Linked DNA regions of Drosophila melanogaster. The gene in region 2 interacts genetically with the main gene of each other region. Each region holds a gene or a part of one and is shown on either strand. Other genes may lie near its edges.

The links. A genetic interaction does not mean that the proteins touch.
Region 1: of sog (region 2) and Col4a1, changing one suppresses a phenotype caused by changing the other (phenotypic suppression), as found in Drosophila melanogaster (one study listed by BioGRID).
Region 3: of sog (region 2) and cv-2, changing one suppresses a phenotype caused by changing the other (phenotypic suppression), as found in Drosophila melanogaster (2 studies listed by BioGRID).

What each region holds. Positions count from the first base shown.
Region 1 is NT_033779.5:5,025,646-5,033,825, reverse strand, and holds the start of Col4a1 (collagen type IV alpha 1), read right to left. Parts: upstream 4,218-8,180; 5' UTR 4,080-4,217; exon of another isoform or gene 4,016-4,079; intron 3,690-4,015; 5' UTR 3,609-3,689; coding exon 3,589-3,608; intron 3,085-3,588; coding exon 3,036-3,084; intron 2,972-3,035; coding exon 2,024-2,971; intron 1,949-2,023; coding exon 1,452-1,948; intron 1,327-1,451; coding exon 1-1,326. Other genes in the region: vkg (viking), read left to right, coding at 6,697-6,789. UniProt on the Drosophila melanogaster protein: Collagen type IV is specific for basement membranes.
Region 2 is NC_004354.4:15,628,968-15,636,789, forward strand, and holds the start of sog (short gastrulation), read right to left. Parts: upstream 4,468-7,822; 5' UTR 3,842-4,467; intron 1-3,841. UniProt on the Drosophila melanogaster protein: Putative negative growth factor. Antagonist of dpp, a protein involved in patterning the dorsal region and in the development of the neuroectoderm; dpp inhibition is enhanced by tsg.
Region 3 is NT_033778.4:21,375,248-21,383,129, reverse strand, and holds the start of cv-2 (crossveinless 2), read left to right. Parts: upstream 1-3,665; 5' UTR 3,666-4,625; intron 4,626-7,882.

The sequences.
Region 1 (8,180 bases), on a different chromosome or scaffold from region 2:
CCGGGACTGCCGGGCTCACCCTTGGCGCCATCACGTCCACGCACACCATCAATACCAGGAACACCAGGAGGTCCGGCAACACCAGCGGGTCCGATCGGGCCCACGTCTCCCTTCTCACCAACAATTCCGGGACGTCCAGATACTCCGGGCAGACCGGCATCGCCTCTATCTCCAGGATATCCCACACTGCCATCGGCACCGGGAAAACCAATGGGTCCGGTTGGACCACGGTCGCCCTTCTCACCTTGCAGACCATTGAGACCGGGTGGGCCCATAGGGCCGGGTCTCGAAATACCAGGCTCTCCCCTCGGTCCAGGCTGTCCATTGCGTCCGGGAATGCCGCGAAGGCCGTCCTTGCCAGGATTACCAGGTACTCCGACAGCGCCCTGGTTGCCCTTTTCACCGCGAGGTCCATTCAAGCCGCGGGGTCCTTCAACGCCAGGAGGTCCCTGTGGTCCAGTGTTGCCCTTCAATCCGGTATAGCCCCTCTCTCCCGGGCTGCCGTCTTCTCCCGGAGGTCCTGGCATGCCGGTTTGGCCGGGCTCACCCTTGTTACCCTTGGCGGGCATCTTAATTTCGTCAAGCGCACAGCTACCGGGCTCTCCCTTCTCGCCGCTTCGGCCAAATGATCCCTTGTCGCCCTTTGCTCCGTCCCTTCCATGGAAGCCTGGCTCGCCCTTGATGGATTGACCGGGAATTCCGGGGTATCCGTCCCGCCCAGCGCGTCCGGGTGTTCCGTCGTTGCCGGGTGCTCCGCTCAAACCCTTCTCACCCTTGAAACCGAATTCTCCTTTGGGTCCAGGGATACCAGGCAGACCTTCTGCTCCCTTGAATCCTTGCACGCCCTTTGCACCTGGCGCACCAGGGTAACCCTTGTCACCCTTCAATGGCTCAATCAAACTCAAATCGCACAGAGCAGGTTTGCCAGGCTCTCCAGTTGCTCCGGGAAGACCAGTGCGACCGTCCTCTCCCTTCTCACCAGGCGGTCCAGTTTGTCCGTTGATTCCATCGTGTCCACGCTCTCCGGGATATCCGCGCTCTCCAGGCGGTCCTCGTGCGCCATCCTTTCCGGGAATTCCAGGCAGTCCGCTCGTTCCCTTATCACCCTTTGGTCCGGCCCTGCACGATGAGCATTTGCCGCCGACGTCACCCTTGATACCCATGTCTCCCTTTTGGCCAGGAGTGCCGGGACGACCAGCGTCTCCCTTTTGTCCAGGAGCACCAGCGGCACCGGGAGTTCCAGGACGACCCAGCTTGGAGTCACCGGGAGCACCAGCATTGCCCTTGAAGCCGCGCTCTCCCTTGCTACCCTTTAGTCCGGGATAACTAGGACGAACGAAAATTAATTCGAATTAAATAAGATCTTTAATGAAGGAAAGTAAGAACAGGACTCGGCTCCACAGTGGGACTCGACTGAGTGCTAGGACTATTAAATGAATCATTGCACTTACCCAGGTATGCCAGCATCTCCCTTAGATCCTTGAATGCCATAACCGGGCAAACCGGCGTCACCCTTCTGTCCCTCTGGTCCCGGTGGTCCTGGGTGTCCAATGGGTCCGATGGATCCCTTTGGTCCATTAAGTCCTGCGGTTCCCTTTTCTCCCTTTTTGCCAGGAGGTCCCTCGTTGCCGGGGCGACCGGGCAGACCAGCACCTCCCTTTTGTCCATTGTATCCCTGAGGACCCGGTAGTCCATCAACTCCGTTTAATCCCTGGGGTCCAGGTGCGCCAACATAGCCGCGGGGTCCTTTGGGTCCCGGGGGTCCTGGTGTTCCACGGCCACCGCCTGGCGGTCCCGGAGGACCGAGCAGACCAGGCTTACCTGTCGCTCCAGCACGTCCTGGCTCACCCTTCTGTCCGGGATTACCGGGCAGACCATTAAGGCCCGGCTCGCCACGATCTCCCTTTTGTCCTGTAGATCCTGGGGGTCCAAAGTTACCTTGGCGACCCTGTACGTATATATTTCATTATAGAGGTTTCAACTTCCACTTCGATTTGGAGCCTTAAGTATGAACTCGACTTACGCGATCGCCTGGGCCGCCGGGCAGACCCTTCTCGCCCTTCTGTCCATCGAGTCCAGTGTCGCCTTCAGGTCCGGGCTCACCCTTGCGGCCAACTAGGCCAGGCTCTCCCTTCTGTCCCATATCGCCGCGAGGTCCCATCACCGTGTGGGTCGGTTTGACGGGAAACGAGGACGCGGGCTCACCCTTCTCGCCCTTGATACCCGGTGCACCAGGCTTCATGGGTCCGTAGCAGGAGGCACCCTTCTCTCCCTTCAGACCGTGCTCACCCCGGGGTCCTTTGGCTCCGTAAGGTCCACTGTCGCCGCGCTCGCCCTTTTCTCCAGGAAATCCTTGTGGTCCAGCCAAACCGGCAGTCCCCCTCCAACCGGGCTCACCCTTCTCGCCCTTCGCGTAATCACCGTTCTCCTTTGCCGGTTCACCCTTCTCGCCCTTGCTGCCAAGCTGGCCGGCATATCCGCGAGGTCCGGGCATTCCGGATAGACCCTCCAAGCCAGGAATACCATCCTGTCCGTCGCAACCGTCTTTACCGTTGATACCAGGGGCTCCGGGATTGCCGGCGGGTCCCTGGACTCCGGGTACACCAGCCTGACCATGAAGACCAGGCGATCCGCGCTCACCCTTATCACCACGCTGTCCGTATGGGCCGGGATCACCCTTCTGACCCTTGTCACCAGATGGTCCCTCCATGCCAGGGAAACCCATTTCGCCCTTCAATCCCGTGGGTCCAAGAGGGCCCGGCAGACCACGGTTGCCCTTCTCCGCTATGCACTTGGGCACACAGCCCGCATATCCGGCCGTACAATTCTTGGGCGGCAGATCGCCGCGCGCCACGCCGGCAGAGTCTACAATGTCGTAACTGTCGTCGATTGGGAACTTGGGTTCATTTCGATTGTAGTGTTTCACGGAGTCCTGAATCGAACCGGCCGTACCAGCCGTCTTCCAAAATTGCTGCGGGGAAAAGGAGTATATTATTCAATGTCCAGATGGATGGCATGGGCTACGGTTATCTTACAGCGTCGGCACCGACTAACGCTCCCGCGATCACAGCGGCGTATAGCAGCCTGCAAAGAAGTCGACGAAGATCAGGAGGGTTAGGAACTGTGCTTCGTCTTATCAGTCTAGCTATTTAATTGGACATAGCTCTCTTCGATTGGCAGCTCTCTCTTAAGCCGTCAATTCAAGAGAGTTTGCTAAAGGCGCTTAAGAGAGAGCTTACAAGTTTTTAAGAGATCGCGCTTCGAAAAATTAAAAAAAAATTGAACAAATGTGATGTTTTAAATTATGTATTTTTGTATTGCTGATATCTAAAATATTAATTTAAAAACTAATATTTGCTCTTTCTGAATGGATTAGAAAGAAAAAAATTGGCAATACTTTTTTAGGCCATAACTGGGTTTTAATCATTAAAAATTTCAAAAAAATTTTAAATTTTTAAATAGAGTATTATTAGTTGTTAAGTAAGTATTATTGTCATGGTTTTTAATAATTAACAATTGCTTTCTTTGATTAACTTAAATTTTTGCAACCATTTGTATTATTTTTCTAACTTTTGTCATTTTTCTTACCGCTTCCAGAAGGGCAACATGATGCCCTATGCACTTAAGCCTGCACAATTATTTGCTCTGTCCTCGTCGAATTTGAAGTTTATATGTTGCCGTCGCTGGGCCTGGAAAGATGAGCCAGAGAATTGGGCACTTTAATTTCGCAACAGTTGCAAAATAAATTGGAAATATTCTTAGAGGAATATTATTTTATTTAATATTTGTGGGAAAATCGAGCTGGCTTATTTTTTTTCAACGATTTAATTCTTGTATTTCGTTTCATTTCATTTCCAAGCATATACACGCGACAGTTTGAGAGGCACTGGAACTGGTACGAGACTCGCACAACGACTTGCTGGATATTTTCAATTAATAGTACGCGTTCTTCCTGATTTAATTAAGATATTTTATGTTTATATTATTTTGTTGTTGTAAAAGCTCAGTTCCTTACAGGAATCAAATCCTATTTAAGGGACGGTTGGACGGGACGGGACGGGACCCTAATGGAAACACACATTCACAACCGAGCGATCCGATCCGAACCGATCACCACTCCACAGCGCTGACTAAAGACTAAAACCAGCTGGCCAGATCAGCTCCGGACCGAGACCAGACTACTACTTACTCGGGGAGACGGAACACGACTAATTATAGTATAAGTTCGAGCGATCCAAAAGCCAAACGCCGATGCCCCGATCTTCACTCGTCGATCGTTCGGCTTGGCACGATCTCGACGATCGGGTCTACGGCTCATGTACACTATCCGTGTGATTCGACGGGGATTGGATGGGCATCGGATCGGTTGCGATGGCTGCGAGGTGGCTGGTGGGAGGTGGGTGGTGGCACCATGGCATATAGAACGGATGGGCGACGGGTCGTCGTATGTAGCAACACTAATCCCACAAGTTAACATAGTCGCTGCGGAATGAATGAAACTTGGCGATAAGTCCGTCGCTGCTGTTGATATGCCACATGCGACTTAAGTTGCTCAATAGCACATCAGCTTCGTTCCGCCGGAGCACCTCCCCGGGAGCACCTTCAACCAGCTCTCCGGCTCCCAGATCCCAGCTTCCAGATCGCAGCTACCAGCTCCCATCTCAAAATTAGCTGATAGCCCCCGCCCTGAGATCGGGCACATGGCTTCCGTTTTGGTCCGCCCCTGCGGCTCCTGCTTTTTGGACTTTTTTCGGTGCTCGGGCAAGGGAAATTCCGAAGGCTTCGCTATCAGGCCAATGTTCTAATTATAACCTCATCAAAATTTTGTGTGTACTTACAATAAGTATGATAAAAATATCTAAAACTTAAAGGATAACAAAAACATGTGTAAACATTTTATTGGCATATACTTTACTTTTAATAGGATTATAGTCCTTTTCTAAGTTTTAAAAATATTCTCTAGCTTTCAAAACTGATATAATTAATTTGACAAAGGTTTTGAAGATTAAATCTCTTTTTAAGCTTTACTTGGTATATTTTTATTTGCTATATATAACTGATTATTCAAATCATTCCATTCTTTTCTAAAACAAAATATTTTAGTTTGATTGATTTTAGTATGTCGATGCAATTATTGTTTCAAAGAATGGTCTTTTTTCGATTTTTTTTGTATCTATCTACGCTTTATTAAAACTAAATGTATCTTAAATGAAATTTCATTTTAAGTGCCAAGTTTTATACATACTTAAAATAATTATTGTTATTTAATTAATAATAATTATTGAGATCCATTCATTTTGATAGTAAGTACGACATAATACTTACTAATACCGCTCTAAACATAAATTAATAAGATTTTAAGTTGCCGAAGTGCGACATCATTTAATATCCTAATCACAGCAGTTTCCTGAGAAGACATATATTCAGGCCACTGGGCCATATCCGACTTGCACGTACCCTAGAACAAAAGAGCTTTCCCAACTAGAACGAGGCCTTGATTATAGCCGCCCTATCAAGACTTATTTCAAAACACTGTGGCCCCGAAACCCAAAATCAGGCTCGAATTTCGAAAGGTTCCCATTTGGCTTTTCTGCGTCGGACTTATTGGAGCTTAAAACTCATGTTCGGTTTTCAGTTGATCAGTAGTTCGTTCTAACAGGAAATACTCAGCCATATCCGTCTTATCAGCCTCACATATGCCATATATGTAAGTACTAAATGAAAAAGCCTTAACCTAATCACGAGAAGCGCGACAAACAAACTAGCATCTAATTGTATTGAAATCACTAGGATAGCTGGGATTGAGTATTAGAATAGCTTTTACCCCGCAAGAAATATCGTGTGTCGCTAGTTGGAACTATCATTTAAGTTATATGCGGATGGTTATTATGTATAAATGGTATGTGCCTGTTAGTAATAGTTAGTAATAGTAACATTAATTAATAAATTATTTAATAATTTGTATTTTCCCAAGAGACGTGCCTAATAAAAAGAACAAAGTGAGAATCTGATTGATCATACCCCTTCAGGGATACGGTACCAAAATGGGAAATAGAATTTGTATGCTTAGAATCGGGCCGCTTTGATTTGGTTAGAGGGCTCTGCTCCTCATTTCCTCGTTTCAAGGCGTCAAAGTGCTAAATTCCGAACCATAACCAGAGCCCGGAGTCACATCTACATCCAAACCTCCATCCAAATCTCCATCCAAAACATCCATCCGGGCCTGTCCCTGGCCTGTGCCTACTACACTCACACTGCTGCAACTTCCACTTGCGATAGTATTGGTGGGCCGAGAGCCGATCGCGAACGGCCGAACTTTTACGAGTGGAGCCGAGCGTGCCGAGTGTGCGGGCGAAGAATTCGAATTTCTTTAGCGGGACTCGTGTTTAGTAATACTTCGAACGCTAGACGATCTCCACATGTGGGGAGAGTGCTGTGCCCGACGATCGCAGCAGCAGCAAATCAGCGTTTTCTGTTAGTTTCCCACACTTTTCCGATCGTCAACTCTTTAATACTTGATTTGCTAATGTCGGTTTTATTTGAGGGCATTTTATAAGAATCGAAAATTCTTCAATTTCTAATTTTATGCTTATTTCGTTGGCAGTTTCGTGTGTGTTTTAAGCGGGGAGAGACAGAGGCAATTAGATAGAGTGCGACATAAATACGTTGCGGATAGGACCAAAGGACCCAGCGAGGATGTTACCCAGAGATCTAAGGCATCTCTCGGGTCTTCTGGGCGTCGTTTATCTGTTGGGCAGCCTGGTTTCCGTTACCTTGGCGGATGGAAAGGTAAGTGCAATCGAAATGCTTAGTATAATATCCAAAAATTGACAGCTCTTTAAAGACTTGGATTGAGAAATGTATAGATTGTAGTGCAATAACTTTTTTCAACTTTTTTTTATGTCTTAAAACAACTTAGGAAATGATATTTAAAATAAGGCTCTTACTATTTAAAGTGCTTCTCAGACCATAACCGTTTGAATTTTATGAGATTGCTAAATACTAACCAAAGTGCTTGTCAAACTGTATATGCCTATTTCATTAACGCAGCATTTTTAAGTTACTTGAAGCTTATAACAATAATATTCTTAATTAACTTTGAAAGAAAATTATCATGTCCACCAATGCTCTCCAAACTGTATCCGTAGTCATTGATTTCGCATTTACATAGTATCAACCATAAACAACTATGTAAAATTGGGTCAGCTCGGAGCTCGACTCTTAATCACCGCTGCTATTGTTATTGTTATTCTGCAGCACTGCACTCTCTGATTTATTCACACTTCCGGCATGAAAACATCGCGTAGTTGCAACTCTTTGGCTTCGACAGATAATTCCTTTCAGCTCGTTCCCGATTCCGGGGGTTCAATGAAGTCCAAGTCCAGCTTGGGATCGATTATGTCATTAAATAATTTTGGCAACATAATTTTGTAGGTGAAGAGGTTGGCGATAACGCCCATTGATAACCCCCCTAATCTTTCAATTTGGAGGACATTGCTTTTTTGGCATACCAATTGTGGTTCGCCATTGAACGTTTCCGGCTGGCAATTAGAATTATATTTAATAACCGCCAGATTAGTCGCTTAATTGGCATATAATCATTTGTAAAATGAAACGGGAATGAGTATGAAAAACAAAGAATGCGCAGGTTCTTAGTTATTACCCCAATTGAATAGATTATTATTCAAAATAAGACACATTAACCATTGAGGTTGCGAATATTTCATTTATTTATGAATGATTTTTTAAGCAAACACAAAAATGATTTGACACAAAAGTGCGAGGCAAACGCAATACTCAATGTTGCCCCAAAAACTATGCACTACTTTTTAACACCGAGTTGCCCAATTCAGTGTACCTTGTGTATGTACCAAATTAAATTGAGTATTAATATTTAAATGGCTAGGGATCACAGAGATTTCGTAATGCTGGATGAAAAATGGAGCACATGCCGGCGGCACCTACTTTTTGATGGCATTCGGCTGGTCTTATCAGGCTGCGACTGATCTACACACATTTAATTAGACCTATTGCTATGTTGGCGGCATTGACGCCATTGATAGCATGTTCCGCTGATTGCGACATGGCTTTCTAGACTCGAATTTAGAATAAATACACTTTAGAATTGAAACAAGTGTCGCCAGCAGTCGCAGAGGCTATCGGCTTGGCTTGACTTTATT
Region 2 (7,822 bases):
TTTGTCAGCCTCATTTGAGGCGTCGTCGTCTGCAATTTGAAATATTCCTATAAATGTTTTGGCCTCACGGCCCCGCCGCAAAAAAATACAAAAAAAAAAATACAAAAAGCCTGCCTCTAGATGTATGTATGTATTTATGTGTAATGTATATGAACGATATCTGTCTCTTGTCTATATAAAAAAAAACGAAAAAAAAACGAAATGTTAAATGTCTGAAACATGCGTACAAAATGCCATTGCAATAGCAACAACGATAGCAATCAACAATCGCAAAGAAAAGCAAAGAGAAAAACGACTACGAGAAATATAAATGAATCGAAAAACAAAAGCAAATTTTCAGCTAGACGATCAGAAAACAGAAAACAGAAAAATGCTTTTCCTTTGATTTATGTAGTTTTAGCTAGCTCTGCCGACGTCGACGCCAGCGTCAGCGCCAGCGTCGCCAGCATAGCAGCAACATGACACACACAGCATATCTATATCTATGTATGTCCATGCAAAGATATAGCCATATTGCCATATAGTCGCCCAGTATATCTGAACAATCTGTGCGCACTCAGCGAGGCGATGGAAAATACACTTTGTATGCCAGTGAAAATGTTCGTTGGGCATTTTCCTTTGGGTAAAAGTGTGTGTTCTCATTGTTTTCCGGCCAAGTTGTACTTTGAACGGTCCAAAAAGAAAAGCGGGAGCCAGAAGGTCACGTTGAACTAACTGGGAAGACTTTGCAACCAAATTAAAGAAAATGTGTAGATAAAAACACCAAAAAATTATTAAAAGTAACTTTTTGGTTCTCTACTTTACATTTACTGCATTACATTTAATACTACATTTAAGTAATAAGGCCAAAATTGATAATTAAATACTCCATCCTTACTTCATTATCAAAATAATATTTCCATTGACAGATTCATTTCCCCCTTTCCATTCGCGGTTCATTGGCAATTAATATTACGGCACCCACCTACCAGGCAATTGCAAGCCCATATATATATGTGTATATATATAAATATGTATCTATATACATTATATAGTAGTTTCTTATCAGTCGATTGCAGAGCGGTTATGTCAGTGCTCCGTCGAGTGTTCAAGTTTTGTTTACAGCCCCACATTGTGGCCTATATCGGGCAGACAACTTTGTTCTGTGGGGGCTGACAAACTGACAAACTAACTAACTGACTAACTGACTAACTGACAGACTGACTAGCCGACTTAGCGACTAACTGACCAGCTGGCTAACTGCCCAACTGACTAAGCGACTGACTGACTTACTGACTAACTGATAAACTGCATTTTCCACTTGCCGCCTTAACTGGCAGTTCGATACTCGATCGCTTCTCGTTCGGGCCACATTGCGCATACGCCGCGTAATCCGATAGAACAGTAGCCGGTGTGTGCGAGTGCCGCTGAGTGTGAAACTCTTTGACAATGCCCGTCAAGGTGTCAAAGCTTCAAACCGCATTCAGCCAGCGAAGACTACGTAAATCAAGATGTTAGTTCATAAATTCGATTCTCAGTGTGCTGCTCATCTATGTGTGCGTGCTGTGTGTGTGTGCTTATATGTATGTAATGTGTGTGTTCGCGTGTGTGTTTGTTTGTTTGTAAATTATTTAATAGCTTGATTGACAACCGTGAGCTAAGTCGATATCCGACCATAAGGTCTCAGCTCTTCGATGCTTCAACTGGCGATGCTTTTTCGATGCCTTGGCGAGATCTTGCGGTAGGCCCGATTCTGATTGTTTGCTGTTCCGAGATGTTTCTAATGTAACTGTCAATCATAAATTAGATGCCAATCAAAAGCAAATCACAACAGCAGCAAAAACAGCAGCCACCAGCGCAAAATTGCCTGCATTCATTTAAATGGCAAATGGCAAATGGCGAACGGCAAACGCACACAGAAAGACATCAAATGAAACAGAAGCGGCAAAGTGACGGCTTTTGACTGCATAACAGGCCAGAAAGTATGCGCACACTGAGAGAAAATTCTCTTTTCTTGATTTCGAAAAACAGTTCGGAGACGTTGAAGATCAATATTGGTGTGTTTCATTAGTTTAAACAGCCAAAACAGCTGAAAAGTAAGTTTTTTTTTCAATCTAGAAATATTTGCATTTTCCATAAATCGTACTGCCTAAAATATTTTTTCCTTTTGTAATTATTTGTTCAATGCAATTTCTTCAAGTGTACTACATAAATATGCACTTATGCGTGTGTGGTTGAGTACTATTTCACTGCAGTCACATGCAATTGATTTGATGGTCATCGAAGCCAGAAGGTCCAATCATTTGAGACATCTGTGTGAATCAGTTAGAAACAGTGGACAAATTAAAAGTGAATAGGTTGAAAGGAGACCAACTACTAAGTTCAAAGTTCTTAAAAAAATCTTAAAAGCATTAAATGAAATATAAGATTTCCGGGAAATTTGTGTGCGATTCGATTGAGTAATTTTCCGGAGGTTCCATCGTACGAAAGTTCACCATAGTTTGCGGCACTCAGAAAGCACCTAGATGATATTCCATTATTTATAAGCTGACTAACCCCCCATACAAACTGCCACCCTAGCAACAGAGATTCCGTGTAGCTCTTTCTCCCTTCGCCAGTCCACCCGTCCCACTCGCACTCGCACTATGTCTTTCTGTTTCTGTGCGAGAGCAGGCCAAAAATATCGCGTATACGTCATGTGTGCCGTGTGTGTGTCATGTGTGTGCGAATGTTTTGTTTGCCAGACAAAACAGCAGCACGTAAAGTGGCAGTAAAACCGCAGTTAGCCAACTGGCCAACATCGTTAAATTTTGGTCGTCTTCTTCTTGTTGTCGCGATCATCGAACGATCAAACAAACTCAAACGATCCGGCGATCGATTGTTTGATCAATTGATGGACGGAATGGGATTCGTGAGACAAGCTAAAGTTTGAACTAAGTGATGGAAGTTTTAGTTTAGCTTAATGATCGAAATAAAACACCATACAATCTTACTAACAGATTGTTGCTTAGCCATTTCAATGGTTGGTTATCATATCAGCGGCATGATAATGATGGATTTTCCGAGCGCAGTTAAACTCTTCATCACTGTCGCTAGATACTGCGAGTATCTGTCGACTTTCAAGCGATCGAGAGTACCTACACATACCTGGGCTGCGTCATCGAGTACGGTAATCTAGGTATTTACCCCCCGCCCCATTTCCTCTGTCACGCCCTCGATTTGAATCATGCTGCAAGTCGGCAACAATTGCCATTCGATTGGAATTGTAAATGGTTCGTTGTCGGTCGGTGTTGCTTTTTCTTTCTGTTGCCGGTTGCTATTGAAACGCTCTGGAAATTTCATCATTCGCCCGACCGCCCGATCGCCCGATCGCCCGATCGATCGATCGATCTATCTATCTATATATCTATGTATATATCTGTCTATCTATCCCAGCTATCCACCGATCTGCCCCCTTTGCCGTTCTGCAACTGGTCCGCATCGAATGTTCGATGTTCGATTGATTTTTCCCATTCTTTGTGATTACGTTTTTTCTTGTCTTGGTTTTTTTTTTTTTTTTTTTTTTAGGTCGCCCTTTTGGCGTCAGATTCGATCTAAACACAGTAATAATAAAAGAAATCATGCCCCATTCCTGGGTAATTGTCTCGTTTTTGGGGCGTGTGTCGCCTCGATCTCGACGATATTGGGTCGGAATCGGAATCGGAATGGAATTAGAATTGAAATTGGTCGATGACATTCCATTTCAATGCGATCATTAAAACCGAAAGTGACGGACTTATAATCCAGAGGGGCAAGAGCTTTCAGGTTGCAGGTACAGTGCGTTTCAGGATTGTATTGTTTGTTGAGACACTCTTATCATTACCTTCATCTGTTCTAGAGCTAGCATTTCGTTGCCAAGTCGCTGTGTGTTATTTAGTTATTGAAAGGGCAATAGAAGAATTCGGTTAAATAGTTATTGCTTCTCAAAACGGCCAGACTTAACATGCCGAAACGCAGTGTAGCAGTGCAATCACTATGAGTACTATTTAACGATTCACCCACGCCCATATGTGTGTGTCGATTAATGGCGATTTAAGCTGCAATTTCCACAACTAATAATCATGAGTGTAAAGTATAATTTCCGTTTCGGGCTTTCGGGCACTTTTCACGTTCCTCAATGGCAATTTAAGAGGTTCATTAAAAACCAATAACTACGACTGTAATTGCACCATTCCACAGACGCGCGCACATACATACGTTTCACAAGAAAAAAAAAATAGGGGCAACAATGAACAATGAAATAGAATATCGAGATATGGAAATATATGTTCTATATGTTCGTTTCGTTTATATGTATATGCGGACATATACATATGATTTATATGCAATACGTCGCCAAAAACGCGCGCGCAATTTTCGAAATGACTCCTGCGGGCTGGCAATCGTTATCGTTTGGATTGGTCATCGATTTCGGTGCGCGTTTCTCTAGCGTCGTTCGTTCGGTCGTCGCGATCTTTGACAAACTGAAGTTTTCAGCATATAATCATATAGACCTAGATCTAGACATAGCGGTTCGCTCTCTCACTCGATCTCCCTCTCTCTCTCTCTCTCTCTCTGGTGCCATCACTCTCCGCTCCCAATGTCGCCACCCACTCTCGCCGGCATCGCTCACCTTACCATCTCCCCCTTTCGCAAAATAGACATAGACAGCTCCAAGCGGACTCTCCTCTCCCTTCCTCTCCTTTCCTCTTCTTTCCTCTCCACGGCGGCGACAAATCGCTGTGTAGCCATGTGTATGTGTATGTGTAGCCACAGAAAGCCATTTCCAAGAGCATTACGTTAGGATCTAAGATATTACGACTTTCAGATACATTTGGTTCCGAGGGATATCTTTAGAACGCTTTTTTGGTAGCTTTATTAGAAACTAAAGGTGATTTATCATAATATCTCATCATATTCATTTTATTTGCAAACCCTTTTCAACTTTTCAGGATAAAAAAGTAATGAATAATGAATACTTTTGAGTTTTCTAATAATTAGGAACTTATTTTCACTTATAAGCTTTAAAAAACAGTTTAAAATAGTTTTATTACATAAGTAAAAAAAAATATATATTTTAAAGAAATCGCTTAATGCGTATATTTACAAAAGCTTCGTTCATGACCAATTACATTACTTCATTGTTTTTTTTTTCCCAGTGCAGCTTGGCATTTTAAAGGCTTTCGCTGTCTTCCCATGGAAGCCAAAAGCTTCTTGGCAGCCCAATCGTGCCCGGGATTGGCGGCTAGTGAGGCGTTTGGCCTCGCCCACTCGACTCGAGTACAGTGAAAACTAACCTAGGACAGCCCACAATGCCGTGGATGTGGCCAGGCGGAAGGAGCTGTATCCATTACGTTTCATGACGCTTGACGGCTAGAGATCAACACAAATATGCCGAATATTTTTGCGCCTTCGGTGCAGCGAACAAAACAACATTTGCTGACGTCACGACGGCGATGATCCATCAAAAAAAAAAAGTGCGGCGGGGCGAGGCAAACAACAACTAACTAACTGTTGGCCAAGTTATTTATTTTTGTTACTGCATTTTTGCCAACAAAGTGCTGTGGTGCTGGACGTCTAAAAATAGTCGTCACTAGCATAGCAAAGTTGTGTAGAACATTTTCACTGGCTCGATAATGTGTGTAACTATGAATACACACACTATCACAACGGTATCCAACCTTATGGACATGCCCAGTACCTCTACCATCTCTATACCCATAGTCGAGTGCTAACAATCTGGTTTCCCTTTCAATTCATATTCTGTCACGATCGAACGTCAAAGTCTCAGTCCCGACTTTTTGAATTTCTGTTTTTCTGAGTTTCTGAATTTCCAACTTACATATATATTTCGAAGCGATCGAGACTGCAACGTGATGGAAATTGGCGAGAAGCTCGAAAATGGCTGCGATTTCGATGGAAATTGGGCAATGCTCCGTTGGCACAAAAGTGCATTGAATAGAAATAAATATATTATAAATATTCATAATATATATAAAATGTGTCATAAGCTACTAATTGATTGTACTGAATATATTCAAAATCGCACTTCAAGCTTTCGAGACAAACTGGCATACTCTGTAAAAATATTATTATTATAATTTTGACATTGCTGATATAATTCTCCTCAGCTTGCTAAGAAATAGATGTTCAATAATTACATATGAAAATATTTTCAGGCACCATAAGATGTGCAAATATAAAAAGCAAATGACATATTTAATTGACAAAAAGGCTTCACCTTTTTTATATCAGTTTTTGCAATAAAATTTGCCCAATCCCTGCCACTTAGCTTGGCTAACAATTAGTAGATAAACCAGGTTGCTCGCACTGTTATCAAATTTGTTATTTACTAAATTAGCAACTCGGTTGGAATCTTCAGGGCCATACTAGCTAGCTGATATTGAAGCTGTTTTAGTTGTTTTGGCTTTTTGGCCAGCGGCTGACACGAGACGGGAATGACCCCATAAATATTTGCCTGGCAGCTCGCATTCGCTTAGCGCCAAATCAGCTGCAAATGCGGCGGCAATTAGTGCCTTTTGGCATGGGCGTTGGTCCAAGGGGGGCCACAATAGGAGGTGGGGGAAGAGGGGTGGGGCAATACAAAAGGGGGGCAAACAAGTTGGCAAGGTAAGCAAACAAGCCGGCGGAAAAGGAAACAAACAAAGAGCGACGGGCAAACAAACAGCACGCGATCATAAAGTCAGGGGCACGTGCGGGGCTTATCCTTATAAACAGATATACATATATATATATATATATATATTTCATTTATATATATAAATAGCGAATATAGCTACCTATAAATTGAACCCAGCACATGATGCAAATTCAATAAATAAATGCAATCCAAGCGAATGCAAATGTTTATGGCCACAGTTCGGCGGCAATGCTGTCAAAAAAAAAAAACAATATAAACACAATAAATCCGCAAAAAAGTTGAAAAAATAACAAGAACAAAAAAACACAGACGGGCTAAAAAAAAATAGAATTTTATCAGCGATCGCATAGAGGCGCGTGATCTTGCCAGAGAAAAATAGAAGAATAGAAGAAGTTGATTGTGTAGCCGCTGCTCTTTCCACTGCACGGCAAACATTTCATCAAAATGAGCTAAAAAAAAAGAAACAATAGTAGTTAATAACAAACAATGGCTAATTCTTGGCAAATTCGGATTACAGCACATCTTGAATGGTAAAACTTTTATAAAAGAAACCATAAAAGCGGCTTCGTTATCTTAACTCATAATTGCCAAAGATTAATATTAATTTCAATATGGAGTTAACTAAAATGCTATTTAAAATGTTTATAATTTATCTTATATTTTTACTTTATTATATTTTCAGATGTTTTAACATCTAATTACATTTAAGCCCATTGACACAATTTCCAAAACCATCTAAATTCTTACCGTGTGACAATGATGATGAGACTGGTAATGGGAATGCGAACGAGGAATGGGCATGACGACGATGTGGATGTGGATATGTGTGGACGAGGATGCAGACGAAGATGAGGAGGATACTAGATGCTAGATGCGAATCGAGGTGATGATGATGGCGATGAGTCAAGCCACGGCGGCGGCAATAGATAGTCACGGCCTGAGTACGAAATCCGCAGATAATTAAGACAATGCCACATTGGCCGGCCGGCCAGACGGCACAGTGAGCATCTCAGCCAGAAACCGAACATTCGAACAACATCGAGCATCGACCACCGGCCACCGTAGATATATCGTCGAGATAACAGGGCTAAAAACAAATACAAAAAGAAAAAAAATCAAAAAATTAAGCAAAAAACAAAACAATGCCGAACCAGAACCAAAATC
Region 3 (7,882 bases), on a different chromosome or scaffold from region 2:
AATATAATTGGCCCACTTGTACTTTGAACTCGCGAACATTTTCGGCGTGACAGAGATTGGTCAACAAGAGAACAAAACGGAGAAGCCACAGTGCCGGCGACATCCCGCCTTGTTGACGTTGTTGACTCACCGGCGAAACGCCCAGACACCAGAGCAGCACATCATCAACGGAGAACGATTACGCACAAACTGGGCTATTGCAGAGGCGACGGTGGCGGCGGATGATCTTTTCTGTTCGGAAAACATTTGCTCTTCTGGCCCTTTCATCCGATTGGCATTTCCGAATTTATCAGCGGCGACGCATCAGCCGGCAAGTTGTTCGATTTTAATTGCATGGCCGTGGTCGCTTGTAATTCGATGCGTTTTAATTAGGCTCTCAATTAAGATCAAGTTTGGTTTTTATCTTGAAATGGGTGAGTGTTGCGAATAGCATGCAAATGGGATGATTGGCCAGCAAATGCTTTAAGGTTTGTTTTTCAGCTCTACACGAGTTCATTTGAATATATGTTCATTGCAGTAATTCACCTCAGGCTTTTTATAAACGTACAATATATCGTTAAATCGGCATTTAAAACTATTCTTAGTCCCTTTTCAATTCTTCTCAAACTGCTTGCCAACAGTTTTAGAGCCACTCCCCTGAAACTGTACGCATATTGGGTATTGTTGCACGTTGTCCCAGGCAACGGTAAGTAATACTACGAAATGGCCACGCCCCCTTGGCCAGCCCTTTCGAATTGGCAATGCACTGACCCCGGCCACGCCCACCGCCCACATTATTGTTATATAGATAAATGGACATGTGCAAAAGAGCTTTTCAATTAGCCCGGCCAGAAGCCAGAAGAAGTTGACAATGTGTTGTTGATACTCGTATGTCGCAGTGGATACACTGGATACACCTAATTACAGTGTTAATGTCGTGCCGCCTGTGTAAACATTCCGGGGTGGTGGGGGGTGTCGTTCTGGAATGGGACAAGGAGGGCCATCACAGAGAGGAAAAAAATTAATTCACTTTGAATGAAGATTTAAAATCTATTCATATCTATGAAGTATAATAATTTACCCAATTATTTTCTAAATAATTTTTAATTAGAATTTAAGGACTACAAAAATTGGCCTTCTATTTAATGTGTTGTATATTATTTTTGCATTGTAATTATTCTTTTCATTGGGAGTGTACAATATATTTTTGAAGTGGAGGCACTTGATCTTTGTCCGCAGTTATCTCCCTGCAATTTGCTCCTTGAAGCCACTTTTCCAATTCTGTGGACCCGATATGTATGTTTGTACATATGTATGTAGGTATCGCTTTCCATGGGGCAAATGAACTCTGCGCCATTAGGGAAATTTGAGCAGCTTGTTTGTGAGCAGGCTGTTGGTTTTCGATGTGCGCGTGATAACTTTATGGAAAATGCCCAGATCGACCAGATCCCCCATAGATTGTTGACTCTTTGACTGGGTGCAAACTATTTCACAACTTCGGTCGAGCTTGGGCTATTGGAATTGGGATTATTCTCACCTGACGCTCATCCCGAAATAGCCAGCACAACAGCGACCGAGTCACTTATTGGCCAATTGCAAATATTTACCAGTATCAAAATAGCATCGATTCGCTGCGCAAACTGCTTCGCAATCGTATATATATAGCATATAGGCTGTGGATAATCGCACCAAATGTGGGGGGTGGTTTTGGGGCTGGAGACGCTCGACGGCTTGCCTATTTGCTTAGGGCTTAGAAGCTCAACGCTTAATTACGCTCAAGTGGCGTGGAAAATTGTGGGGCGGGATTCTCAGATTTCCAACCACCGCCCACTGCCCACCGCCCACCGTCTACCTCCCCATCCACCCAAACACTAAGCAATTCGACCCGATGACGTTTATGCCAAATTGCTTTGCACTTTGTTTGCAATGCGGGGGGAACCTATGCAAATAGCAAACGGCATTTAATGAAACGCAATTATTTAATTTTACAGACTGCGTCACGGTTCCCACCTGGCTGCATATTGCACCGTTCGCCTCATAAATAATGACTAGGCAACCTCCAGTGACAAAATCCATGGCCTGGGAAACTCCATCTCTATCTCCAAATCCAAAGCTGAAACCAAGAGCATAAGCAAAGCTGAAACCGAAGCATAATCCAAACCGAGCTTCGTTCGTGATAACTGCAATTTTCCAGCCACAACTACAGATACAATGAGTGCATAAATCATCTCCAGCTCAGCTGCAACTCCGTGGCATTTTCCTAGCGTGCCGCGGCAGCTTTTCCAAAAAAACAAAAAAGAAAAACATGCAAAAAAAGGCCATCGCATAAATGTCAAATGGCTGGCAGTTTGATTTGGCTGCGGGTTAAGTGTGAATTATCCCAGGGTCTCGAAAACTCGCCACCATTTGTACCACCGTCTCTGTCTCATCATCTGCCAAATGCATTTAAGAGCTTTAAGTGCTATTATCGCATTCGAGACAAATACCATAAGACACAATTCGGATTGCAGTCACGTCGGCTTTGGGGATCATAATGAATGGATTCATTCATTCATTGTGGGAAAGAACTGCTGCTTACGATTTATAGTGCAACTAAAACTAAAGAGCTCCCAGGTAACTTAGCTAGAACTTAGCCCACGCCTTTGGTTAGTTTAGTTAGCTTAAAAAATTTTTATTACTTGCAATGATTCATTGCTATTGGTATGGATTGTGAAATTCCTTGTCATTTATAGCACCTTATTTTCAAGTTTACACTATCATATGTACATGCCATTCTGGTGATAATTTCACCTGACTGCAAAGTCATTCAATTCCACCTGACACACACTGATCTAATCAGCAGGCTTTTGAACTTCAATTCATTCATGGTTCGAGTGGAAAGCAATCGAATTGATACTACGGCCGAATAATGCCTTTATCAGACGGGAAAATACCTCCGTGAACTATCAAAACAAAGAAGTCGAGGCAGACAGCGCGGAATGCCAGTTGACAAATTCTAATTGGCAAAAGTTCCCGGAATTGAATCGAAACGAATCGCATTGAATTGATTTGCCTACCATGCGACTACTAAGGTGTGTTGATTTCCCACCCAATGCGCAGGGGGGGGGGGGGGTCGCTTCTCATGTTCGCCCTGTTAACACTTTGCCATCGTCGAGGTGTTCATTTCGCTTAGGAATGTGTGAATGTAGATTGAAATTCGATTTCAATTGCAATTCGTGAAGAGTGCGCCTTTGAAGTCGGCAGCCCTGAAATTTGGGTACAGTTGGATATGAATATCTTAACATCTCAAACATGTTACGACATGTTTAATTTAGTAGACATTGACTGTTAACTTTTTAGGGCTATACTATCTCTATAAAATCTAGATTATCTCAAAATTATCGTAGACAATGAAATATTATAAACATATTTTACTAGTATTTTGTTTTTAAGGAATCACTATAAGCATAACAATTAGTTCAAAACTTTAGAAGGCAACTAGCGTTTGTACAACAACACCAGAAAAGTCCCCTTATCGCTAAAAAATCGCAGCAAAGTGCGAGCCCCCAAAAACGAGGCCCCAATCCTCTGCTGCTGCGCTGCTTCGCCTTCGGCTCGGCTCGGCTCGGCGACACCGACACGAAGGCCAGCCCGAACGCAGACGAGCGTTTTCTCAGTGTTCTCAGCGTTTTTTCCGCTTGCAGTGCTCAGTTCAACTTTAGCTGCGCACGCGAGCGGTGCGGTTTTCCAGAAGCGCTCGAGAGTGGCTCGAAATTGTAAATTGCTGGCCAGGAAAATCTATCAGCCGTAAAAGGGGAAAACTCGCGCGCGATTTTCACGTTCGCCGATTCACACGAGACAACGATCGCTGGTGGAGCGTAATTACTATAAAATACGTAGTCCGAACGCAATTCAAATAGAAAACAACATAAACGAATTTGAAGTTTGTTATCAACGCGACTGAATCTTAATGCGGGGCTTAGCTTGAATTTCTGATATTCAGACTTGTGCGATTTTCTGTTTTTCTGATTTTCTGCGTGCGCTAATGCGTCGTTTTCCACTAACACTGGCTAGCAGCGTTTTCCAGTGGGTCCGGCGAATTGGCGCGCAATTTCATTGAATTGCATTGAATTGAATGCTTATTGCAATTGCGGCACGGCGCGAAATTGAACCTTTGACAGCGTCGACGGACAAGCGCGCACACAACGTGGCGTATGCGTAATCTGTGGCAAGCGAATCGAAGTACTCGCAATCAAATTGAAATTGAAATGCAAATGTAAATCGAAATGGAAATGGGAATTGAAATGAAAGGCGCGCGCCGGCTCAAATAAATTATGCGCCAGTGAGTTCTAAGTGCTTCGTCTCTTTCCAAACGCGGTGTGGCCTCTCTTTTTCGCGTAGAAATACATACATACGTAAAAAATAATACAAATAAAAAATAGACCCAAGCCCAGGCAATTGAAAATGCGATTTATATCGGTTCGAGTGGCAGCAACAACAGCAACAACTAGACGACAACAATAACAGCAAGAACAAGAGGCGAACTGATGATCGCTGGCAACATGTCAAGCATAATTAATTTTCGATTCCGCCGATTTCTTGCCACCAGCAGCAGCAGCAGCAGCAGTAGAAGCACCTCATCTGGAAATCTGGAAGTGTAATTACGGGTAAACTTTGCGTCTTTACTTTTTCCTTTGTAATTAATCTTTGCCTCTCCCTGATTCCGCGATTCCCCGATTCCCTGATCCGGAGATTCCCCGATTCTTTGTTGCTATAATGCCAAGTGCGATTTTGTTTTATTATAATGCGAAACATATAAACATTTCACTTATCTGTGTGTATCTGCGAACGTGTGTGCTATCTGCCTTTGTTGTTTCAACATTTTGCGAAAATTGTTTAATTGTTTGGTTTCTATTATCACATTTGGCACTCGCTCTCGCCTCTCTCTCTTGATTTCCTTCGAATTGATTACTGCCAAGCATTAAAAGTTGTAAATTCGAAATCAAAAGCCGATCAAATTGCGAATAAGCAAACATATGTTTGAGTGTCCGGGCCAGCATTTAATTGAGAACATTTGCATAGCATTTTGTAAAGGCGGAAATCATAGTTGGCTTTAATTGCCCGACAGCCATTTGGTTTGGGCTTAATAAATCCAATTCGAAAACCATTGAGGCGTTCTAAGTGAGCATTTCGAGTGTGTAGAACGACTTTAAGCCGCTTAACAGCTACCAACTAAGTGAGCGATTAAACAAAGTGCCGCAGATCGGGTGCATGAGCACAAAACACCTTATCTATTGCCGGGCATGAGTCAGCGGTGATACATATTGTTTAACCAATTAGTAACGATGTGTCAAATATCACCAGGTGATATATAGATATATAAGCTGGCCAACTGTCAGGCTGCAAAGATGATAAATCACTGCAGCAGCTGCTGCTGCAACTGCAACTGCAGCTGAAACTTCAATTGCAGCGAGAATTGTCACTAAGCTAATCGCAGGCCATTTCCTGTATTACCCTCATCGAGCCATAAAAAGTGTCATCGCTTGGTGGACGGGGCCACAAATAGGAAATACAATAAACTGGCTCATTAGGAGGACAGTCTGGCAGAAGGACACCAAAACAAATTACGACTGCTGGGGCAATGGAGACACAAACCGAAACGCAAACATAAGAGCCAATAAAGTATGCACGGAAAGAAATATTATTTAAGCATTTTCAATGCATCCAAGTACTTCTGTTCAAATTTATATCTGTTTTATCAAATGTATTACCATTGTTTCGTATTTTGAATACAACATACTGTATCTTTGATTGCTAATATCTTGCTAGTTTTAACGTATTTTCTTTCGTCACATTCTTCATTTATCTCTGTGTAAATAACACTGGTAATAACTGCTCTTTGCAGGGGGGACTGCAATTGGGATTGGGATACGTTTGGGGGCGGGGCAGGTAGTAAGCCAAAGCTACATGGGTTAATACGAATGTGCGCCGGTATGTCCATGAAACGTCCATAGAACAGACGTCTGACTAGCAGTTCGCGTACTGGGCTAAACTGGCGACACACCAGCCCATGGATGACAGTCCCCATTCCTATTCCCATTCCCATTCGGCGTCCCCAAGCCTCCCATCCTTGAGCTATCCAAACCAATCCCCTATCCTCCGATCCCTGACTTGCAGTGGCAGAGACAAACGGACGGACTTTCCCGTACTGCCTAGGTGTCGCTTTTTGTTGTTGTTTCTGTTCGCTTTATAATAAAAATGCAACCATACCAGTTTTGCCAACTGACAACTGGCATACACAGGCGGCGGGGCCAACTCGTTTGCCCCTTCTGTCCACCGACCAACATCAACATCAACAATAACAACTGCAACTACAACTACGAACTGCATGTGAATTTGGTTTAAAAAAAAAACTATGTGTTTATACCCTTGGATCAAGGGTAATTGAAGTGGATGATGTTGTTTGCTTAGCACGAGTTGGGGAACTCTTGAATGAAGATGGGCAGAAAGTAGTTTTTACAAGTTTTGAAGTTAGAAAGTCCTTTGGATGGAGTGAATCTTTTGGGGTTGAGAAAGGCATGATAACTAACTTACTAACTCTAGTAACTTGCCCACAGAAAAGCGAAACTTAAAATGATTTATTTTCCAATTTAATTTGATCTGCGTTATCTTAGATCCTTTAAGTAATACATGTATTCAGATTCTAAAGGACTTAGAAGAGCGTGCTTTCCAGGGTACTCCCTGTTCGGATACGTTAGGGTACGATTCGGGTTGCGACTCTTTCTCGCTCCCGCTGGCCACGTTCACGCACCTGTCCAAGCACAGCAGAGCCAGGCGGTCTGCGATCCCCGATCTGCGGTCCACAATCTTGGGGGGATTCGGTTCTGCTCCACACACGGGACTCTCGAGGCGAGCGATCTGCAATCCGCACGCTCACCTGGAGAGGTGAGCAGCCAGTGCAACTGGTGTCTTTGCAGGTGTTTTTGTTTGTTTGTTTGCTGCACTTGATTATGCTGTCGAGGGGGTGAAGGGGGGGGGACTGCGGTCTGCAACACTGCCTGCATAATAATAATCCACCAATTAAAATATGATCGCATAATAACTCGACACTCGCGCGTCTGCTTATGATTTATGGTGCAGCTGGTTCGGCCAGCGACTTTTAACTTATTTATAGAGATGGTCCAGCTATAGAGAACCCATTTCCCATTCCCCAATCCCCGCTCTCCGCTCCCGATTCCCGTTCTACGAAGAATTCTTCTAGTGGGGTAATTGTGTGCGGCTGCGACTACTTTTTCCGCCGCTTGTTCTTCGGCTCTCCGCATACTTTTGCATTCGCTTAAAGGTAAATTGCTGTCGCCAAGCGCCAGACGATATAGGAGACACCCCTCGCCACCCATGTATGCCCCCCTCCCCTCCTCCTCCTGCCCGCTCCGAAGCCCCTGATTCAAAAACCCCCTTTTTTAAACAAGCCGGCTTGGCTCGTTTCGTTTTGGCAAAACCCAAAACAGAAGACCAAAGAGCGAGCGAAAAAAAGAAGACTGAGAAGCAAAAAGCAAAACATTTGATACGACCGAATCTCCTCCGTACCCCCCTCTAGCGCCAAATGCCCCCCCCCGAACGTCGCGCCTTGTGACACCGCCTGTCCGACTGTTGCTTCTAATAAATAATTTTAAATGCTGACTACAAAACGAAACCGAACGGGCGGAGCGAAGTGAAGTGAAGTTTAAGTGTAACCCAATAGCCAAGTCGCGTTCTTAATTGCCTGCGTGGGATGTGGGGCTGTGGGACATGTTGCTGCCGCTGCTTGCTGTCTGCCGCGGCAAGATGTTGCAGCTGTGCAAAGTGGGCCAGGCCAAGTGCCCAAGTGCCCACTACTGGTGGGCTTCGAAAGGCACTGGTGGGTCCAAGTCCAAAGTCTTGACAC